2 linked regions of the Stegostoma tigrinum genome follow. Each later gene encodes a partner of the first gene's protein in a complex. Links are inferred from orthologs where the notes say so. Each region holds a gene or a part of one and is shown on either strand. Other genes may lie near its edges.

Region 1 (10,914 bases):
TTCTAAACAGTGGAAATCATTCAGAGTTGTTTTTGCGCAGTACTGCAACGTCTCCCAACTTGGAGATACTGAAACTTTTCCACATCGTAAGCATTTCAGTTCAGGAAACTGGATGAAGAGCAGGGAAATCATAGTTTAAGTAGTTTTTGACCACTTCAGTAATCTCAACTGTAAAGTCAACCTTCTGAAGGCTACAGTGCAGCCTCCTTCCTCTTTTTTTTCCTAGCTTTGGGCAAAATGATGTCCATGTCTTAGCAACAGTTTCACCTGGGAAGCGGAACTGATTTTAAACTGCCATGTCATTTTCATTTATACAGCTGGTTACAGAGATAAGTGGAAGAGTGATCTTATAGACTGGCTACAGCATATAAAAATGTGATAAGGGCTTTTGTCGCACTGTCTTAGCGTGCCTACCTCTGAACCAGGAGGTCTGGTTTCAAGTCCCACCTGCTTCAGAAGTGTGTAACAACATCTCTTGTTCAGATTGATCTGAATTAGGTTATGCTGGCTCTCTGAAGCAGCAATTCACCTGGTGCCACTTTACCTACTTTCTCTTTGCCACCCTGCACATTTTTCCATTCCGATCAAATCCCAGTTTCCTCTTGAAATCTTCTATTGAACACGCTTCCATAATACTCAGACATTACATTTCAAAGTCAACCACTCCCTACTATAAAAATGCTTTGTCATATGTTGCCACTGTTTTTTCACAAGTACTATAAATCCACACACACACACACACTTTTTCAATCTTTTCACTGATGGGAACAGACTTTCCCACCACATCTACTCTGTCCAGATGCCTCTTGACTTTGAATACCTGTCAACTTTTCCCTCAATCTTCTCTTTTCCAAATTAAACTCTCTCTCTCCAATATGTCCATAAAACTCAAGTTCCCTATTGCTGGAACCAATTTTGTGAATTTTTTCAGTACCATCTGTACATCCGTTCCAAAGTGAGGCAGCCAGAACTAAATCCAATACTCCAAATGAGGGCTGAACTCGAGCTTATGCAAGTTAAACACAACTTCCATGATTTTGTACTCACCGCCTCTACTGATAAATTCAGATGCCGTCTGCTTTATTAACTGCACTTTCAATTTGTGCTGCCGCTTTAATTTAATTCACAGAGATCAGTAAAGGTAAAGTCATGACAGGGCTGATCGCTGACGAAAGAGATTACTAGTGGTGAGATTAACCGGATGATCACCACACCTCAAGTGAGATTGAGAACGTGGGACCTTCATCAACTGGTGCAGTAAATGCTACTCGTGTTATTCTGCATTGTAAGCTATTTAAATAAGCTGACTGACCTCCATATTTCTGCAAATATACCCTGGCTGACCTGCTTCTGCATCCTCTTTAAAATTGTACTTTTTCTTTTACTGACCCATCCATGGTCTTTTGACAAATATGAATGACTTCTCACTTTACTACATTCAACTTCTTCAGCCATTTCTCCACCCATTTCATGTAACTTACGTCCATTTGAGGATTTGCATGACCCCCTCTCAGTTCATTAAAAGATTAATTTTTGTGTCTTTGTCACATTCTGAAATTGTGCACGGTATAGATATTCATATTCATCAAGAAGAACAGGAATCTTATCACCAATCCCTAGGGCACTCGTCACATGAGGAAGGGTCACTCGACCTGAAACGTTCTCTAAAGATGCCGCCAGGCCTGCTAAGCTTATCCAGCAATGTCTGTTTGGTTTCCATTAAACATTGCTGTTTCCTGTTATTCAGCTAATTTCGAAAATATATTGCCACTGTAGCAATTATTTCATGAGCTCTTAACTTTGCTCATGTTTGTGGCACAGCAATTTGACAAATGCTTTTGCACGTCCATGTTCAGTATATCAACAGTGTTACCTCAACTGAAGTTAATTAAGCACAATGTGTATCTTCAATCTGATGATGGTCCATGCATGTAGACCCATTGCTCAAATTTACAATCTTACAGTACAGGAGGAGATGGGTCAGGCAATGCCTCTTTGAAAGAGCGACGTGAATTAGTCCCATCCATCAGCTTTTTTCCAACAGCCTTATAACTTGGTCCTCACCAAATATGTCTTTTAAATGTACCTACAGAATCTGTTTCCATGACTGAGGTAAAATATTCCAAATCTCAACAACCCTGTATGGAAAAACAGAAGTGTCTTCACACCCCTTCAGTTGTTTTATAAATTATCTTACTTCTGTAACCTTAGCTTAAAGACCCTCATGCCAGAGAAGAGAGTTTATTCCTAGTATCAAAAAAAATCCTCATAATTCTGAACACCACTCTTTTGCTGAGGTAGAGGAGCCACTTCTTACCTGTAATAGTATTAACAACAGAGCGAAGAATTGTAGGAGGTTTAATTAGTTCTTTTAAGATATTGGATTCAGTAGCCAATGGAAAACCATTATCCAACATTTCTTCCAGAAGTTCATACACGATAACAACGTTATCCTTAATTGAAGCCTCAGAGCATTCTCCAAAATAGTCCTGAAGAACAATGTGATAATGCAATTCCTTAATTAAACTATTTGTGTCAGACTGAAGATTTTTAAAAATATACACTTAACGGCACATTTTACAGCTTTGGGACAACTCATTTTATAGCTAGTACTTCTAAAAAAATGCAAGCACTTTTGGGTCAAAAATCCAAGAATGCTACACATCGTAAATCATGTCTTAAGTGATAATGATATTGATCAAGAGTCAGGATGCCCCTTTCCTTGTGACAGTATCAAAGGATCTTATGTCCGCCTGAGAAGGTAGACAAGACCTCGATTTCCTTTCTCATCTGAGGCACCCTCTCTCCCACAATACGTACAGTACTCCCTGAATACACTTGGTATCTCAAGGAATCAAGGGGTTTGGGGAGTACGTAAAAACTGTTGAATTAACCCCAAGAGGTTACACCGAATGGTAGAACAGTTTCGAATGGCCACAGGATCTCTGTTGTTTTCTTGAATTGTACACTCAAGTCTCTGGAAGGGGACTTGAACCCAACCATCATCTAACTCCCACCCAGGCTCTAGCTAGGACACATTCAGTGTTAGGCGCAACATCGGTAAATTCCCCAAACGAGATTCTCCTGCAAAGAGATTCACTTCACATCGAAATAAACTGACAGAAGACGCCGAAGGTAGTTCCATTTACAGTGACGGACTTTTTGATTTCCCCCTTACGTGTGGCGTGTACAAACCTGCAAAGTTTCTGCCACTCGATGGAGAAACTCAATGACAAAGAGAGGTGGCACTTCGGACTGAATGACAGCAACGAAGAAGATCTTGTCTCTGTACGTGCTGACCAAGTAGTGATGGGGTGTGGGGATCACCGGAGGCACATTTTCCGCCTCCGCGGCTTTCTCCAGGGCCTCGAAGAAATAATCACAGACTGACCGGCTCACCACACTCTTCCAATGTTTCTCCAGAAAGATATCGCCAGTGTTGTTGATGAGAAACAGGCTATGGATCATTTTTTTCTTGTTTCGTCCCAGCGGTTTATTTGTGTCCTTTTAAACCGTGAAGCGGTGTTGCCCGGCCACACGAACAGCCTCACAGGCATCAAATCAATCCGTCAAAGAGCAGCCCCAGGAATATGGCGGCGGCGCCGCCGGAAGCAGCTCCTGGAAACAGAAAACGAGATTTTAAAGAAAATATAAAACATTCATGAATCACCGCACGAGTTCTGCACGAAAAAGGGGATTGAGAGGGGAAGTGGGTATATTTTGGTGCTAACCCAATTGGAAACAGGTTTGTTTTACTAATTCCATTGCATGTAAATGAAAGGGACAATCATGGGTCGCTTTCTCCCAAAATGTCACGTCCTGTGACTTAAAAACAACGCCTTTCATGTCTCTTGCTGGGTCTCCATGTACTTTTGGGTTTTCAAAATTATTACAGGCCAATTGATTGATTGTTGCGTCGTTTCCCTATTATGGTCCAAATCGACTTTGTGACTTCTTTTACCTATAGATTTCTTTTTTGTTTGCATCATTAATAAAATTGATAGCCATGTTGTTAACAGACCGATCATTTTATTTTTTACCCGCCCTCTCGCGTCTGCATCCAATACCTGAAAACTACCACCGAATAATTCTGAAAATTTGGCAAACCCAGGCTTCACGCGCTTCTATTCAGCTGGTCACTGCTTGCGACTTAGTGGGCGGGTCTGGACTGCGTAAAATGTTAAGCGACAAATATTTCACGTTATGAACTTGAATGGTCTGCTTTCCTAAAGTGCTCGGGCCCCGCTCCCACTGCTGACTGCTTGTACCGCCCTCTTGGGCTGCTGATGTGCTCTGAGATAATGGGAACTGCAGATGCTGGAGAATCCAAGATAATAAAGTGTGAAGCTGAATGAACACAGCAGGCCCAGCAGCATCCTAAAATGCTGCTGGGCCTGCTGTGTTCATCCAGCTTCACACTTTATTATCTTGCCAATGTGATCTGCCTACTCCGCATGCGCATTGCCACGCTAGCCCCGCCCTTGTCGTTTCTCCTTTGTACTGGACCCCTCCTGTCCACGTCCCGCCGCTCCACCCATTCACACTCCTCCCCACGCGCCGCCTCTCCGGCACCATCCCTCTCCTCATTTGCATACCGTCAGTCCTGCCCCGCCCCTCAACCGCAGGGCCCAACCCCGACGCGGCTACAGTTCTCCCCCGCCCCCTTCCTCTAACCGCGCATCTTCACTCTGTCTCTGACTTCCTCGCTTAAGTTCCACTGTGCGCAGGTCGTTCCCTTCCTCGCGGTACGCGCGTCTCCCCTCTCCGGTTCCTCCCTTGCAGCGCGCGGCGGCGTGAATTGGGAAGTAATGGCAACGGACGGACCTCAACCGGCGAAAAAGATCAAGCTGCAGCACAATTCCCTCAGGTAAAAAGGAACACCCAGTCATGAAAACAGAGTGCCTGATCTTTTGGTTTATATTTAAACGGTGATTGTTGATGGTTTGAAACCACACTGCCCCCAGCGCACGTTCAAAGATTTTCTTCATTCATTGTCAGGAAAAGTCGATCATGCCTTTCGTATAATAAGCAAGAAATATTTCAAATGAGTGTCTGCCACGCCGTGCATTTGCAGCAATTTTAAGACAGCAGGTTTGGCTTCAAAGTTGTGCTCTACTCCCACGGGCATATTCGACTTATAGACTCTTATTTTTGAAATATACGATTGGCTTTTGTGGTGGTTTAATTTGTTGCTGAGATTTTTTTGTTAGTTTTTCTTACTTGCTGTTGTGCCTTTTGTTGAAAATCTAACCACGCTGGTCAGACTCCTTAATGTTGGACTTTTAATTTGTCTTCCCTCTCTGTACTCAAGGTCACAAAACAGCCCAAACGACCTTTCACGTTGCAAAGGAAAAGCTTCAAGTAATGCCAAAGCCACTGCCTGTTTGAAAAGTCATTAAAAATTCCCCAAAATGTGGTTTCATTGGACCTTTCATGTTGTATCAAAATTGCAGCTCATGAAACTCGGAGACTAGTAATCAAAAACACAACCCAGCGCTCTTCCCACCCACACCCCCCCCCCCCCCCCCCAAAGTAATTGCGTCCTGGCTGGTACTAACTACCCCTGCACAAAATAGACTTGGACAGCAATCAAGTGCCTGCAGCTCTTCACTCTGTCTCTGACTGACTCGCCCACCCCCCGCTTAAGTTCCACTTTGCGCAGGTCGTTCCCTTCCTCGCGGTACGCGCGTCTCCCCTCTCCGGTTCCTCCCTTGCAGCGCGATTATCGCTGGTTCGATCTCAATGTCCGTGTACAGGTCCACAACAGTCAATTTTCATCCAGATTTGCTACATGCATCAGTAGGGTGTTCCTTCGATTTCGTGAAGATCACGAACGAATTTATTAAGCACGCTGCAGTTTGCCTACTTGTGATCTTTTTATTCCATTTGGTTTTTTGATTTCATTGTTAGTTTCCATTTAGAAAATATGCTTGTCTATTTCAGCTTCGCAGCCTTTAGTATCATAGAATACGAAGGAAAATTAGATTTTTATTTATGCTAATTAACATTTATCATTGTGCATTTCAAAAATTCATGGGTGGGACGAGTCTAGGGAATTAAGCAGCTCACAAGTTGGGTGTCATCATGAGCAGAGGTAACAAGTTGCCATAATGAAGCGATCTATAATCAATGGAAATTCTTAACCGTGACAACGTTTGTGTTGGTCCTTCGCTTTTTTTTTGTTCAATTTGCTCAGTTAACTAAAATTGACAAGTTTTTTTTAAATATCTGATTGGAAACCAATCCAAGATTTTAATCCAGGATTTTTCTGCATATTTTGTTTTTCTGTTTCCTTATTCTCTCCCCTACCTTTATTATTTCAGGGGAGTGCTGTCAAGGCCATCAATTAATTACCTGTGAGCTGAGACTTGCTTGGCTTGAAAAAGAGGCTACGAATCAGCTACTCTGCTGTGGGTCTGGAGTCAAATATAGGCCAGATCTGTTAAGGGCATTCAATTTCTACCCTACCTTTTACCATGTTGGCAAAACATTATTCTGGGTTAATTGTCCAGGGCAATAACAATATGCCACTCACATAGTAAGAACTGCTGCTCCTGGAGTCGGAGATAATAGTGTGGAGCTGGAGGAAGACAGCAGGCCAGGCAGCATCAGAGGAAGAGGAATGTTAACATTTTGGCTTGGGACCTGAAGAAGGGACCCGACCCAAAATGTCAGCTTTCCTGCTCCTCTGATGCTGCTTGGTCTGCTGTGCTTCTCCAGCTCCATACTGTGTTAACACTCTGCCACTCTGCCTTTTCATGCTAGCTCTTCTTGTGCCGAAGATATTGTGTAGATGTAGCAGCTAAGTTATGCAATCCTGTCATTTGACAATTTACTGAGTGTTCTGTTCCACTTGTTTACTCAAGATATAACTCTTAGATTAAAGCTGTGGAGGTTGACTTGTGAAACTCTACCTTTTCAGTCTAGTAGCAAGAGAGTTGGTAATATAGCTACAAGGTTTGAAATGATACAAAAAAAGTAAATATAGAGCGTAACTTCATGGCAGCTAAGAAAATGCAGTGAGGCGGGCAGTTTTAAATGGAAGGAAAATTTGGCATTTGTTTATGCAAAGAGTCTTGTCTTGCTGATGACATTGAAAGGCTTAAGACAGATATTTTGGTAATGTTTTCCTAAATGATTGAGTTACGCTGGGTCACGTTTGTATTTGTGCTGTGATTCCTGCTCGTTTAGCGGCCACAAAGGCTTAAAAGCCTCTGCTGAATGCTATAATTGTAGAAGGAAAATATAGAAAATGCTGTTTTGAAGAAGGGTCCTTCATGGACTCAAAACATTAACTCTGTGTCTGTGTCCACAGATGTCAAGCCAAAGCTCCAAATTGTACACAATGCAGCAATCCTTGATTTTTAAAATAGACCTTTTCCTATTTTGATCCCCAGTCAAAATACAGAAAATTAAACATTAGTTTATTTAAAATTAAACAATTTAGCATTTCTGAAGAAGAGCCTAGGCCTGAAACATCAGGCTGCCTGGCCTGCTGTCTTCATCCAGCTTTCAACCTTGTTATCCCAGATTCTCCAGCATCTGCAGTTTCTACTATCTCTGAGAAAATTAAGCAGACAGGTTCTTTACACTATAATGGAATTTAAACCCAAATCCAAATTTTTGTCTATGCCTATCGATTTCTGATATTCCCATTATGATATATATTGTAATGAGCTTGTTCTGTGGGAGTACAGTTGATCTGGTTTCAACTGCATACAGTCAGTGTGTGCTATAATCATTTTTTGCAGCATATTTACTGTTACATAATTATACTTCATAACTTGTTTAATGTCTCTGCCGTTTGCTATTCTGCGTTATTTCTCCTGTGTCAGTTTTAAGGGACCCATATTTACTTTGATTCTCTTATTGACGTAAATATGTAAGCTTTCTCATTGAACCTCATAATCTTTGGATTATTTCCTGAGCAATTTGACATAAGGAAAATCAAATTAGAGAGGAGAATACTTGGCTCAAAGTCTGGTGTGGGAATGGTGTGTTCTGGTTCATGCAGCTCTGGTACCAGAATGAGTGCATGTCGGATCTGTATTGATCAGATGATCTGTGCCTGAACAATGCTGGAGCTGGTATTCTTGCCAGCTGCATAACGAGGGAAGTAAAATGTTGTGATAGTCTTACCGGATTATAGGCTAACTCTCTCATGTGAGCGAAATGACTGATGATGGTTTAACCTAAGTGTCACCACACAGCAGGTGAGAGGAGAGGTTGAGAAGGAGAGTTTGTCATGGTACTTTGGCTGGGGATGGCAAGGGATCAAATTTGGGATGGTGATAAATTAAAGCATAGAGCAGAGGTCAAAGAAGAAGGTAGTACATGGGAAACAGACAGTTGAAGAGATGGCAATTATAAGGGTAACAAATAATTAAGATCAGACTTTACAACATTACTAAGGTACAACTAAAGACTCCATCTGAATTCGCTATTATCGCATTTGAAAGAAAACTGATGAATTCAAAGTGCAGCTACATATGAACAAGGATGATCTGGTAGTCTTTTGCCCAGTGACTGACTTAACCTGAGATATTTTGCAGCCCTGTGACTTGCAAGGTCTTGGATTAATCGTCAGGCATCTTACTACTTCACGGTTTATTTTTGTTTATCTTTGAATTTACATCACCTGTAATGTTTCTTTCCAAATCCCAGGTAGCAACATCTGAACAATAAGGTAAACTTACCTAGTCTTTTGTGAATGGCAGGACCCAGAATCCTCACTCCTTAAAACCTGCAGCAAGTTTTTAAAGTGAAAATCAATCCTATCCCTCTCCAGACTGAATTAGGACAAACGTTTCAAAGAAAGTTTCTTACCCCTTTAATCCAAATCATAATGTCACAATTTCAAAATCTATTTATCGCACAAGGACTGAAAAGAATGGACATGTTTATAAAAGGAGGAGAAAAGCATAACTTTGTTCAGGGACATTTCACATACATGAACCACTCATCTTTAGCCCCTGCCCTAGTGTGGTTCTGATCTCTAGCGCACAATGGTTCAGATACCCCCACTGATGTGGATCTGCCTATTATGCAACAATTTGGTAATATGTCACTGTTCCTTCACAATTGACGGGTCAAAAGCCTGGAATTCCCTCCCGAAGGCCATTGTGTATCTATCTACAGCATGTGGACTGTAGCACTTGAAGGCAGTTCACCGCCGCCTTCTCAAGCAGCCAGCGGTGGGCAAAAAAGCTGAAAACAACGTCCGAAGAGTAAATTTAAAGAAAAATTACAGTGACATTACTGCAGGATGACATGAATTGGGACTGAAGTCTTCTGTACGGATACAGATGGAGAGTTGGCTCTATTAGTTAGTGATGGGTTTGATATAGTGGAAAAAGATGACCTAAGTTCAGGAAACAAGGATGTAGAAACAGTTGGGATACAGGAGAGAAATGATAAAGGTAAGTCACTTGTGAGCTGTTGTTCAGGGCCTTTGAATAGATTCCTATATTTTGGGAGTGGAAAGTAAAGGAAGACTGACAGCAGATTCAAGGGTGAAATCATTTATTTTGCTGTTACATCTTTTGTTGTGCAACAGACTTTCTTGAGTGGGTCATTTTGGTTGAATGTTACTGGAACTAATTTGGTCTGCCACCAGCAAGTTGTCTGGCAGACTGTGAAACCTGTGACTTCGAGGCTGCCAGAATATTTTTCACAGAAATGCAAATTTTCACTTGTTTACTAATTTACAGATAATTGTCTACTCTCCAAACACAACTGATTGCCTGCAGACAAGGGGTTTCTCTGAGCCTTTGCTCCTAAATCTGCTTTCCCCAAGCCCAGGATTCATTAACTGAACTATAATGAATTTTGCCTTAATTTTCCTTTGGAATAGAACAGTCATTTGTCACCTGTACGTTTACATGAGCAATAAAGTGAAAAGTTTTATGAGCCGCCCCACCACAATGCCTATATCAATGACAGAAATGCACATAATCATTAAAAAAATGATGAACCAAACTGATTTTTAGGTGATAGTGGGTAAGACATTAATGGATGTACCTATTCTGCAGTTTTCAGAAATAGTGAGATGGGATCTTTTCTATCCATCCAAGCAGAAGGGGCCTTGGTTTAGTGGCTCATCAGAAAGGCAGCATCTCTTACAATGATCCTTCAGCACTGCGCTGGAGAATCTGCACTGATTTTTAAGCCAGGGATCTTGTGATTCAGAAGTGTGGACTGCCAACTGAGCTTTGACTGACAGCTGCAAGTGCACCAGTTAGTTTCCCTCTGAGTGAGATTTTCAGTTCACTGGCTAGCATTTATAGGATGTTATGACAGAGGCTGAAGGAGTGCATAATCAAATGACCAGTTAAATACCTTTTTATCTATCAGGCTTTAATTTGAGATCCATCAACCAGGTCTTGTAGTAAACTTAATAATTGGTTTATCAAAACTACTCAATCAATGAAGTTATAGAATTAGTTAAAATAGTAATGTACAAGAATCCACTGAGGATGTTCTTTTCAAGAAACCATTGAGTACTTGAACAAAATTTGAATTTTTAAAGATTACGGAAAATGGATTTAAGTCCTCCAAGTACGATAAATATAAAGCAACTTTAAAGCAGGTACTTGAGAGTTCTGGCAGGCTTCAAGGGAGTTATAGATCATTGAGTTTAGTCTCCTTTAAATTTTCTAACCTTGTTGACATCGGCGGTACAAGGACTATTTCATAGCTAAACCAAGTGACCAGAAATGATGATTGCCAAATGATAATATCTTGTTCCTCAGAAAAATCCGTACACTGATACTTCAGTTCAGCATAATCATTTGGTTTCCATAGAAGTTGGTGTTTAAACATATCTGTTAAGAGTGCATTTTTAATGGGGAAAATATGGATTGAAACATACAAATTTCAGAACTACATCTAATGGTGGAGTGACCAATGAAAAAT
Region 2 (10,908 bases), on another chromosome or scaffold:
GTCAGGGCATTGAGTACAGGAGTTGTGGTTGTGCAAGACATTTGTTAGAGATAATGGGAACTGCAGATGCTGGAGATTCCAAGATAATAAAATGTGAGGCTGGATGGACACAGCAGGCCAAGCAGCATCTCAGGAGCACAAAAGCTGACGTTTCGGGCCTAGACCCTTTTTGGCGCATTGCATGCAATTCTGGTCTCCCACTTATTTGATGTTGTTAAACTTGAAAGGGTTCAGAAAAGGTTTAGAGGGTTTGAACTACAGGCAGAGGGTGAATAGACTCGGGTTATAGTCCCTGGAATGTCACAGGCTGACAGGAGACCTTAAACAGGTTTATAAAATCATGAGACACATGGTTAGGGTAAATATGCAAGGTCTTTTCCCAGGGTCAGAATCTAAAACTAGAGGGCACAGGTTTAAGGAGAGAGGAGAAAGATATAAAAAGGGACCTAAGGGGCAACTTTTTCACGCAGTGGGTGCTGCATGTCTGGAATGAGCTGCCAGTGAAAGTGGAAAAGGCTGATATGATTACAACATTTAAAAGGCATCTGAATGGGTATACAAACAGGAAAGATTCAGATGTATACGGGCCAAATGCTGGCAAATGAGACTAGATTGGTACAGGACATCCAGTCGGCACAGACGAGTTGGAGCAAAAGGTCTGTTTTCATGCTATACATCTCTATAACTCCACGAAATATTGCAAGTACGCCCACAGGATGGGAGACATGTTGAATATGCTGTCGCAAGTGGGGAATAACTTCACTTTACTGTCTTCCTCTTTTCGTTAAAGGCATCAACTAAATTTGTTTTGATGTCAGTTAACTGCCAAATGGCTTCCTCCTACCATCTAAAATTAAAGCATATATTCAACTAACAAAGATCAGAAAACATTCTCCGAGTTCTAAAGGAGAACAGGATACCTTTCCACTCCTGAAACTAGCAGCTCAAGAAAATTTTGACTTCTGTCAACACCCAATTAACAAATATCACAACAGAGAAAATTCCAAAGAACTTGAAAACAGCACGAGAGGGGGATTCAACCGAGAGCTGGTGTAAAGTCTGAGAGACGGTCGTGCTTGAATGAAAAATAAAACATGACATCACAAGTAAACAGGGCACTTATTGGTCACGCCTTGGAGAAGCTGCACAAGACAGATGATTTCTGAAAACATGCAAAGTGACACCACAGGATAAACACAAGTTGATCCAGATAGTACTGGAGCTAGTGCAAAAGGAGCAGCGACCTTGGTAGCACTAGGTAATTATACTTTCCGGTCTTTAAAGTGCAAATTGGTATTCCATTCAGATTAATCAGTGCTTAAAAAGGCAAATGATAAAGCAAGACCCCTAATCCACCTAATATTCTTCAACCGTGAAGAAGAAAACATGAAGGGAACAACTTAAGGCAAAGCAGGTCAGCCATGTTGAATGTTCCTCCTAAACCACATGGAAAGTCAAGGGCATTAGTGTTCATGGTGACCAAGTACACCACCACGAGAAGTGACTTCAGACGCAAGCCACTTGAAATATGCGTTTTCAACCTGCAGCAGTGACAGAGCATCCACAAGCCTGAGATCTTAATGGATAGCAAGATGCTCACATCGTAGTTAAAGAGTACGAAGAGAGGGAACAGGTGACCAGAGTGTAAAAGCACTAGACAGGTTATGCAGAAGTCCTCTGGGTCATCTCACTCCGAGAAGAAGGTGTTAAAATAATAGAATCTCCTATCACTATTACCAGGGGAACAGATAAGATGCTTAAAAATGTCAGTGAACAGTTGCAAGATATTCTGAAGAGACAGCATCAACTGCCAGAATTCCTGGTCCATTTGAGTAACAACATAGGTAAAAAGGATGAAGCCCTGAAAGCAGAGAATAGCAAACTGGGAATTAAGTGAAATGGCAAGACTCCAAAGATAATCATCCTAGGACTACCCAGAATGCCACATGCTAGCAAGATCAAGAATGCCAGAACAGAGCGGACAAATGCATAACTGAAAAGATTGCAGAGGGGGGAGTGATTTAGATTCCCGTGGCATTGGGACTAATTTGGGAAGTTGGCACATTTGCGAGCTGGATGGGTTGCATCCCTGCAGGATCAGTATCAGTATCCTTGCAGTAGCATTTTCTGGTACTACGGAGAGAGCTTTAAGCTAGAGTGGCTGGAAATAAAAGAGACACAAGAGGGGAACGTAAATGAAATACATAAGTATCGAAAGCAAAAGTGGAAGGCAATGGGAAAGAAGTGCTTGTAACAAATAGGGACGTAGCACAAAAATAATGCATAAGTATGTTAAAAAAGCAAATATAAAGGTAATAAGTGAACTAAAGGAATGAGGGGTGGGATGGCATAGTTAGAAATGGATGAAATCAGTACAAGTGAGAATACATTAATTCAAACTCTAGACACAGAATTAATCTGCAAAGTAACAAAAGGGCAGTAAACATTAGTAGGAACTGTCTACATGCCCCCCCAAAAGTAAAGTAGGGAATGGCACTGAACAGGAAATTACAAAGGCATGTGATAACAGTGATCATGAGGAACTCTAATCTACATATGGACTGGTCAAACCACATTACTAATAATACTACGTTGGATCAATTACTGTAATCTTTACAAGATTTTGAGTGTAGTATTCAAAACAAAGCAGCGACAGGCTATCCTAGATTTAGTCCTGTTCATTGGGAAAGGGTCCGTATAGGATTAAGGGAAGTGAGACCAAAGCATAAAAGAATTCTTCACTGGGATGAAAAGTGAAGTAAATGAATCTGAAATTAGCGTCTTAAATCCCAGGAAAAGTAATTTATGATACATGACGGGTGAATTGGCTACAATAAATTGGACAACATAAAAGGCATAATGGGGGAATAACAGGATAGTAAGAACTGCCAATGCTGGAGTCAGAGATAACAGAGTGTGGATCTGGAGGAACACAGCAGGCCAGACAGCATCAGAGGAGCAGGAAAGTTGATGTTTTGAATCCTGACCCCAAACTAAGAGGACATAGTTATGGTTTCAGGAAATAATTATGTCCTTTTACTTTAGAAAGGGTTAAGAAAAGAAGTGACCATGGCTAACAGAAGAAATTAAGATATTATTGAATTCAAAGAGGAATCAGGTACAGTTACGAGAAAAGTAGCAAGCCTGAAGGAGCAGTTTAGAATTCAGCAAAGGAAGACCAAGAGATTGTTTAAGAGGGAAAATTAGAATGAGAGTAAACATACAAGAAACATAAAACCAACTGGTAAAAGATTCTAAATGCTTGTAAGGCGAAAGATATTAGTGAAAGTAAATGCAGGTCCCGCAGTCTGAAATGAGAAAACTGATAATGGCGAACAAGTAAATGGCAAAGTAATTAAACCAGTACTTTAGCTCTGTCTTCAAAGATGACAACAAATAAGCAGCCAGAAATGCTGTGGAAACTAAGGGTCTAATGAGAGGGAATTAAAATTATTAGATTAAAAAAACTACTCAACAAATTAATGGATCGAAAAAATGACAAGTGTCCAGGATTTATCTGATAATCTATGCCCCACAGTGCTAAAGGAAATGGCCATGGAAATAGTGAATGCCATCTTCCAAATATTTTTTGAGCCTGGAACAGTGTCAGCAGATTAGAGGATGGCAAATGCTAAAGCAATTTTTTTACAAAAGGGGAGAAAACAGGAAGTTACAACAGATTGGTGTGGCATTAGTAGTTGTTAAAATGCTATAGTCTATTACAAAATGGTACAATAACAAGACAAAGTCAACATAAAGTTATAATAAGGAAAACATGTTTGACTAACCTACTGGAGTTTAAGAATATAACCAGTGGATGCGGCGTATTGGGATTTTCAGACAGTCTCTCGTAAACTCTTATGCTGCACTTTATGGCCATTCTACTGACAACACCTCTGTGCTTGTGAAATAACCATGCTACTTATTGAGAAATTCTGCCACAGTGTCTGCAGAATCCACATGTGCCTGACATCCAGCTACCAATTGTACACTTAACAGCATCAAGGTCTATTAATAGTTAATACTCAGTTTTTAAAAATGATAACTTGAGTGAAACACTTTTTTGAATGTTCTCACCTTGGAGTAAACTAGAAAACTGAGGTCAGAAAGGCAAAAGATTAGAAATGAATCACATAACAAGGCTAAAAAGTTGAATTAATTTGTTAAATTTGTGTTAAAAGCACAAGAACAACTATGGAATACAGTACAGTGCAAAGTGGAAGAAAGGACAAGACTCAGTGAAGTAAATTAATCAAATAATTGAACCGTAATGGTAAATGTGGCCAACCAGAAAGCTGGATGGGGCCCCCAACCCTGGGATATGTTATGCCAGATTCGGGACATCTAAAGGATCACACCCACTCTTCCTTCCCTGCCCCCAATCCGGGGTGAGGGATCATCTCCTCTTTTCCCTTCCTCCCTCTCCCCCAACCTGAGGTGAGGAATCACACTCCCTCCTCTCCACTCCCACACAACCCGGGGTGAACGCGCAAAACCCGGGGTGCAAGATCGCGCACCGCCCCCACCCCCTCCCCGCAAAACCCGGGGTGCAAGATCGCGCACCGCCCCCACCCCCTCCCCGCAAAACCCGGGGTGCAGGATCGCGCACCGCCCCCACCCCCTCCCCGCAAAACCCGGGGTGCAGGATCGCGCGCACCCCCCACCCCCAATCTCTCCCTGCTCCGGGTTCTCGATCATTCCAGGCCTCACGTGACAGCCGATCACGTGAAACACCTCCAACCTCCACCTTCCCCAACCCCCACAGTCACCCTCCGGGTAACCGTCAGACCGCGGTCCGCTTCCTCCTCGCCCTCCCTCACTCAGCAGTCTCCCCACCGCCAAAATAAAAACCAAAAACAAGAATCAACCCAGGGCCGCTGACAATGTCAGCCGGCTTCAAGAGCGACCGAAAGGCCGAGGCCCCAGCGGCAGCCGCAGGGCCCTTTTCCTTACCCAGCAGCAGCAGCGGAGCGAACAGACGGTAGACGACGGCGCGACTCATGGTGACAGTCGGTAAGAGACGGAAGATGTGTTTGTGTCCGGTGGGTTGGGGGAAGGAAGGTCGGTGCTGGGTCGTGTTGTGTTCGCTCGGTGTCTCTCAGTCCGACAGCTCGTCAAAGTCCGGACGCTCATGTGACTGATTACATCACGCGGGGCGGGGCCGGTCCGCCTGTCAATCACCCCAGCCAATCCCACCCACTACAGGAGGAGGACCTTCAGCCCATCTGATCCCTGTTGACCACACCTCCAGCAAGAGAGTCACTTACCTGGTGCCCCGGAAATAAAACTAGTTTACAAAGTACTTGAAAATGAATATATCACTCTGATTTGAAAGATTTACAAGGATGTTGCTAACGTTTGAGCTATCAGGAAGATAACAAAGTGTGGAGCTGGATGAACACAGCAGGCCAAGCAGCATGTTAGGAGCACAAAAGCTGACGTTTCGGGCCTGAACCCTTCATCAGAAAAAAAAAATGGGAGAGTTTGAATAGGCTGGGGCTGTTTTTCCCCTGGCAGGGCTGAGACTGAGGGGGTGACCTTATAGAGATTTAAAATCATAAGGGACATGGATAGGGTGACACCAAGGTCTTTTTCCCAGGGTGGCCAAGTCCACAACTGGAGGGTGTAGGTTTAAGTTGAGAGGGGAAAGATTTAAAAAGGGACCTAAGGGGCAACTTTTTCTTGCAGAGGGGATGTGTGTATGGAATAAGCTGCCAGAGGAAGTGGTGGAGGATGGTACAATTACAACATTTAAAAGGCATCTGGATGGGTAAATGAGTAGGAAGAGTTTAGAGGGATATGGGCAAAAAGCTGGCAAACAGGCCTAGATTAATTTAGGATATTTGGTTGGCATAGATGGTTGCAACAAAGGGTCTGTTTCCATGCTGTACATTTCTGAGACACTATGACTGGAGCTCTGCTTTGAGGTATACAAAAGACTTAATTGCTTGAAGGATGGAGTTTAAAAACAGGGAGGTTTCGCTGCAGCTCCATAGGGTGCCTGTGAGGCCCTTCCTGGAGTAGTGTACAGTTTGGTCTCCTTACTTGAGAAAGGATGTATTGGCACTGGGGGAGGTGCCCAGGAGGCTCACTAGATTGATTCTTGAATTGAGAGTGTTGGCTCATGAGTAGAGATTGAGCAGACTTGGACTATACTTTATGGAATTTAAAGGAATGAGGGGGAATATTATAAAAACCCATAAAATTATAAGACAATACCTGATAGAGAAGCAGGGAGATTGTTTCCACTAGTGAATGAAACTAGAACTGTGGGGAATACCTTCAAAATAAAGGGGAGCAGTTGAGTTGAGGAAGAACTGCTCCACCCAAAGGGTTGTGAATCTGTGGAATTCCATGCTTAGTGAAGCAGTTGAGCCTACCTCATTGAATGTTTTTTTACAGCAAAGATAGGTGCATTTTTGAACCGTAAAGGAATTAAGGATTATGGTCAGTGTTTGGGTAAGTGGAGCCGAGTGCACGAAAAGATCAGCCGTGATCTTATTGAATAGTGGACCAGGCTTGATGGGCCAGGTGTCCTACTCCTGCTCTTATTTCTTATGTTCCTCTGTAAGTCAGACCATTATGTATCATTCATAAGTCTTACTATACTTTCCTTCTTCATTGTGTGTGTGTGGTGCTACCGCTCTGTTAAATGAGGCAGATTTCAAGCTACTTGAGGCAACTGGGCATCGGTGAGGTGGGACATCAGCAGCAGAATTGCAGTCAACTGCAATCTGACCTCATTGCTTGACATATTCTGTACTCTACCATAACCATCAAGTAGGGGTACCAACTCTGCTTCCAACAAAGAGTGCAGGAGGACATGCCAGAGTACCACGAGGCATACCTAAAAATGGTGAAACTACAACATGAAGCTACCTAAACGCTAAACATCAGCATAACATTTGTCAGAGCTAAGGGCTACCAGAGTCCACAGGTCAGATCTAAGATCTGCAATTCTGCCACACCTGGTCATACAGTGTTTGACAATTATATAACTAGCTCATGGATGACGTCCTACCACCATCTCTATCTTCAATGACAGGGAATCCCAACATGTCAGGGCAAAAAGAGAAGTGAAAGGTTTTGGAATCATCTTCGGTCAGTATGTCGCAAGTGGATGATTCATGTCAGTCTCCTCTGTAAGACCCCAGTATCACATATTCCAGTCTTTTGGGAATTTGATTCACCACATGTCATATCAAAGGATGGCTATGAACCCTGGATACAGCAAAGGCTGTGGACCCTGGCAACATTCCAGCAAAACGAGCTGTATCTGGAGCCAAGCTATGTAGTACGGTTACAGTACTGGCAACTATCTGGCAGTGTATACAGCTGTCCTGTCTGCATAAAGCAGAACAAATCCAAAATGGCCACTTACCACACCATCAGTCTATCTTGATCTGAGAAAATTGAAAGAAAATGTTACTGACCGTATTACTAATTGAAGCTTAGCAATAGCCTGCTCACTGATGCTCAATTTGAGTTTTATAAGGGCCTCTCAGCTCTTGACCTCATTTCAGTCTGGACAAAAAATGCTGAATTCCAGAAGTGAGATGTCAGTGACTACCCTTGAAATCCAGGCCACATTTGACCAAACTACGGCACCATATATCCCTAGTAAAATTGAAGTCAATGGGAATTGGGGGTAAAAAGTACCCGCTGATTGGTGAGCACAAAGATAAAAGACTGAACATAGAACATAGAACATAGAACAGTACAGCACAGAACAGGCCCTTCAGCCCACAATGTTGTGCCGACCATTGATCCTCATGTATGCACCCTCAAATTTCTGTGACCATATACATGTCCAGCAGTCTCTTAAATGACCCCAATGACCTTGCTTCCACAACTGCTGCTGGCAACGCATTCCATGCTCTCACAACTCTCTGCGTAAAGAACCTGCCTCTGACATCCCCTCTATACTTTCCACCAACCAGCTTAAAACTATGACCCCTCGTGCTAGCCATTTCTGCCCTGGGAAATAGTCTCTGGCTATCAACTCTATCTATGCCTCTCATTATCTTGTATACCTCAATTAGGTCCCCTCTCCTCCTCTTTTTCTCCAATGAAAAGAGACCGAGCTCAGTCAACCTCTCTTCATAAGATAAGCCCTCCAGTCCAGGCAGCATCCTGGTAAACCTCCTCTGAACCCTCTCCAAAGCATCCACATCTTTCCTATAATAGGGCGCCCAGAACTGGACGCAGTATTCCAAGTGCGGTCTAACCAAAGTTTTATAGAGCTGCAACAAGATCTCACGACTCTTAAACTCAATCCCCCTGTTAATGAAAGCCAAAACACCATATGCTTTCTTAACAACCCTGTCCACTTGGGTGGCCATTTTAAGGGATCTATGTATCTGCACACCAAGATCCCGCTGTTCCTCCACACTGCCAAGAATCCTATCCTTAATCCTGTACTCAGCTTTCAAATTCGACCTTCCAAAATGCATCACCTCGCATTTATCCAGGTTGAACTCCTTCTGCCACCTCTCAGCCCATCTCTGCATCCTGTCAATGTCCCGCTGCAGCCTACAACAGCCCTCTACACTGTCAACGACACCTCCGACCTTTGTGTCGTCTGCAAACTTGCTGACCCATCCTTCATGTACGAGGATATGACTGCAGGAAATCCTCAGGGCACTTTAATGTATCCTAATAACTAACCTGTATCCTAAGTCACAACAATTCTGTTCACCCACTTAAGTGTTTGATGAAGTGCATCTGTTCACAGTTCCTTTGTACAGTGCATGATAGTTTAGGAAAAATAAATAAAACAATCCATTCAGAGATGTTACTACTCATTCCAGGAGCAGGTGGGACTTGAACCCAGGCTCAGTTACTGAAGCAGTCCATGTCCTAATGTAGAAGGGCCTGGATAATATCCAAGCTTGGGCTGAGAAAGGCAAGTAATGTTCACACCTCACAAATGCCAGGCATTGACCATTTCCAACAACAGAGATTCTAACCATCACCCTATAACCATAATATTGAATGGGTTACCATCACTGAATTTCCCGCAGTCAGTATCTTGGGCGGGGGGGGGGGGGGGGGGGTTTACCATTGTCCAGAAACTCAACAGGACTCACCATATAACTCAGTGTTTACAAGAATAGGTCAGAGACTAGGAACACTGAAGCAAGTAACTCACCTCCTCACTTTCCATCTTCAAGGCACTAGTCAAGAATGTGATAGAATACTCCCCAACTACCTAGATGAGTGCAGCTGACAACACTCAAGAAGCTTGACACCATCCAAGATACAGTAGTCACTTGATCAGCACCATATCCACAAACATTCATTGCCTTCATCACCCATGCTGTGTAGCAGCATGTGTACCGTGTACACATTACACTGCCAAAACTCATTTAGTTTCCTCCAACAGCACCTTCCAAACTCATGACCATTTCCATCTAGAAGGACAAGGGCAGCAGATACATTGATTACCATCACCTGCAAGATCCCATCCAAACCACTCACCATCCTGACGTGGAAATATATCACCGTTCCTTCAGTCTCATTGGGTCAAAATCCTGGAACTCCCTCCTGAAGGGCATTCTGTGTCTACCTAAGGGACATAGACTGCCGTGATTCAAGAAGGCACCTTCTGAAGGGTGACTCTGGATAAGCAGTAAATGCTGGCCCAGCCAGAAATGCCCACATCCCATGAATGAAAAAAAAAGGTGACATTTGTGGCACACAAGTTATCAGGCAATAATCATCTCCAGCAAGAGAGAAACCAATGGCACCAATTAAGTTAAGCTGACTGACACTCTTTATTGAACAAGGACGCAACACTCACTCGGATTTTCAGAATGCTTCAGAAGTGTATTTATTTTTGTAACATAGGAAATGCAGCAACTAATTTACATGAAATGCAAGATCCCAATCTCACAAAAAGCAATGTGATAAGTAGTCCAGTTGTGGCTAACCAACGCACTGTACAACTCCATCAGTTCCAGGTCAGGATAGTGAGTGGTTTGGATGGGATCTTGCAGGTGATGGTAATCCGATGTATCTGCTGCCCTTGTCCTTCTAGATGGAAATGGTCATGAGTTTGGAAGGTGCTGTTGGAGGAAACTAAATGAGTTTTGGCAGTGTAATGTGTACACGGTACACACTGCTGCTACACAGCATGGGTGATGAAGGCAATGAATGTTTGTGGATATGGTGCTGATAGAGTGCTGCATTTCTCTATCACTTCCCCCCAACTTCTTACAAGGAAAGGTTGAGAGAGCTAGAGCTTTTCTCTTTAGAAGACGAAGGATGAGAGATGCTTTAATAGAGGTGTACAAAATGATCAGAGGTATCAATAGAGTGGATAGCCAGAGACTCTTTCCTACGGTGGAGTTACCTATTACAAGGGGGCATAGTTTTAAAGTGAGTGGAGGCAGATATAGGGGACATGTCAGAGGTAGGTTCTTTACTCAGAGAGTGGTAGGGATGTGGAATGCATTGCCGGAGAGGGTAGAGGGGTTGGCCTCATAGGAGCACTTAAGTGGCTATTAGATAGGCATATGGATGATAGTGTAAGGTAGGGGTGGAGGTTAGATAGGCCTTAGGTTTAGGGTAATGGTTCGGCACAGTATTGTGGGCCAAAGGGCCTGAACTGCGCTGTGCTGTTCTATGTACAAACTTACTTATTTGTGAATGGCATTTCTTTACTCTCCACAACATCCTTCCGCACAACCTAAACAATGAGATAGCCATAGATACAAGTGTAAAATGACTACATTTGCCTTTGTACTAGCCACTCACCATTTAAGGAATATCTGAGAGATGGGTTCTAACGGCTGTGGTTGGAAGCTGACTATTGGGAAGTGCATTGAAAGAACTGAGCAGAATCTAATAGCTCACTGGGTATGAAAGCAATCCAGAGAAAGCAAAGGCCAGGGAATGGTCTAACAA

Evidence for each region. Proteins that work in one complex are often made in the same cells at the same time.
Region 2: the proteins of AP-3 complex subunit mu-1 (region 1) and lamp1a are in contact, whole or in part, in a cryo-EM structure (PDB 9C5A), measured with the Homo sapiens proteins. The link is inferred for Stegostoma tigrinum from reciprocal best matches to the Homo sapiens genes AP3M1 and LAMP1. Residues at the interface, in NP_001307192.1 of Homo sapiens: Glu178, Tyr180, Phe181, Asp182, Gln381, Val389, Asn390, Arg391, Leu392, Phe402, Lys403, Gly404, Val405, Lys406; in NP_005552.3 of Homo sapiens: Ser410, His411, Gly413, Tyr414, Gln415, Thr416, Ile417.

The regions. Positions count from the first base shown.
Region 1 is NC_081390.1:13,539,157-13,550,070, reverse strand, and holds the start of AP-3 complex subunit mu-1, read right to left. Parts: upstream 4,324-10,914; 5' UTR 4,068-4,323; intron 3,751-4,067; exon of another isoform or gene 3,732-3,750; intron 3,619-3,731; 5' UTR 3,469-3,618; coding exon 3,196-3,468; intron 2,490-3,195; coding exon 2,318-2,489; intron 1-2,317. Other genes in the region: adenosine kinase-like, read left to right, coding at 4,809-4,867. UniProt on the Homo sapiens protein: Part of the AP-3 complex, an adaptor-related complex which is not clathrin-associated. The complex is associated with the Golgi region as well as more peripheral structures.
Region 2 is NC_081365.1:77,079,925-77,090,832, reverse strand, and holds the start of lamp1a (lysosome-associated membrane glycoprotein 1a), read right to left. Parts: upstream 5,156-10,908; 5' UTR 5,003-5,155; coding exon 4,954-5,002; intron 1-4,953. UniProt on the Homo sapiens protein: Lysosomal membrane glycoprotein which plays an important role in lysosome biogenesis, lysosomal pH regulation, autophagy and cholesterol homeostasis.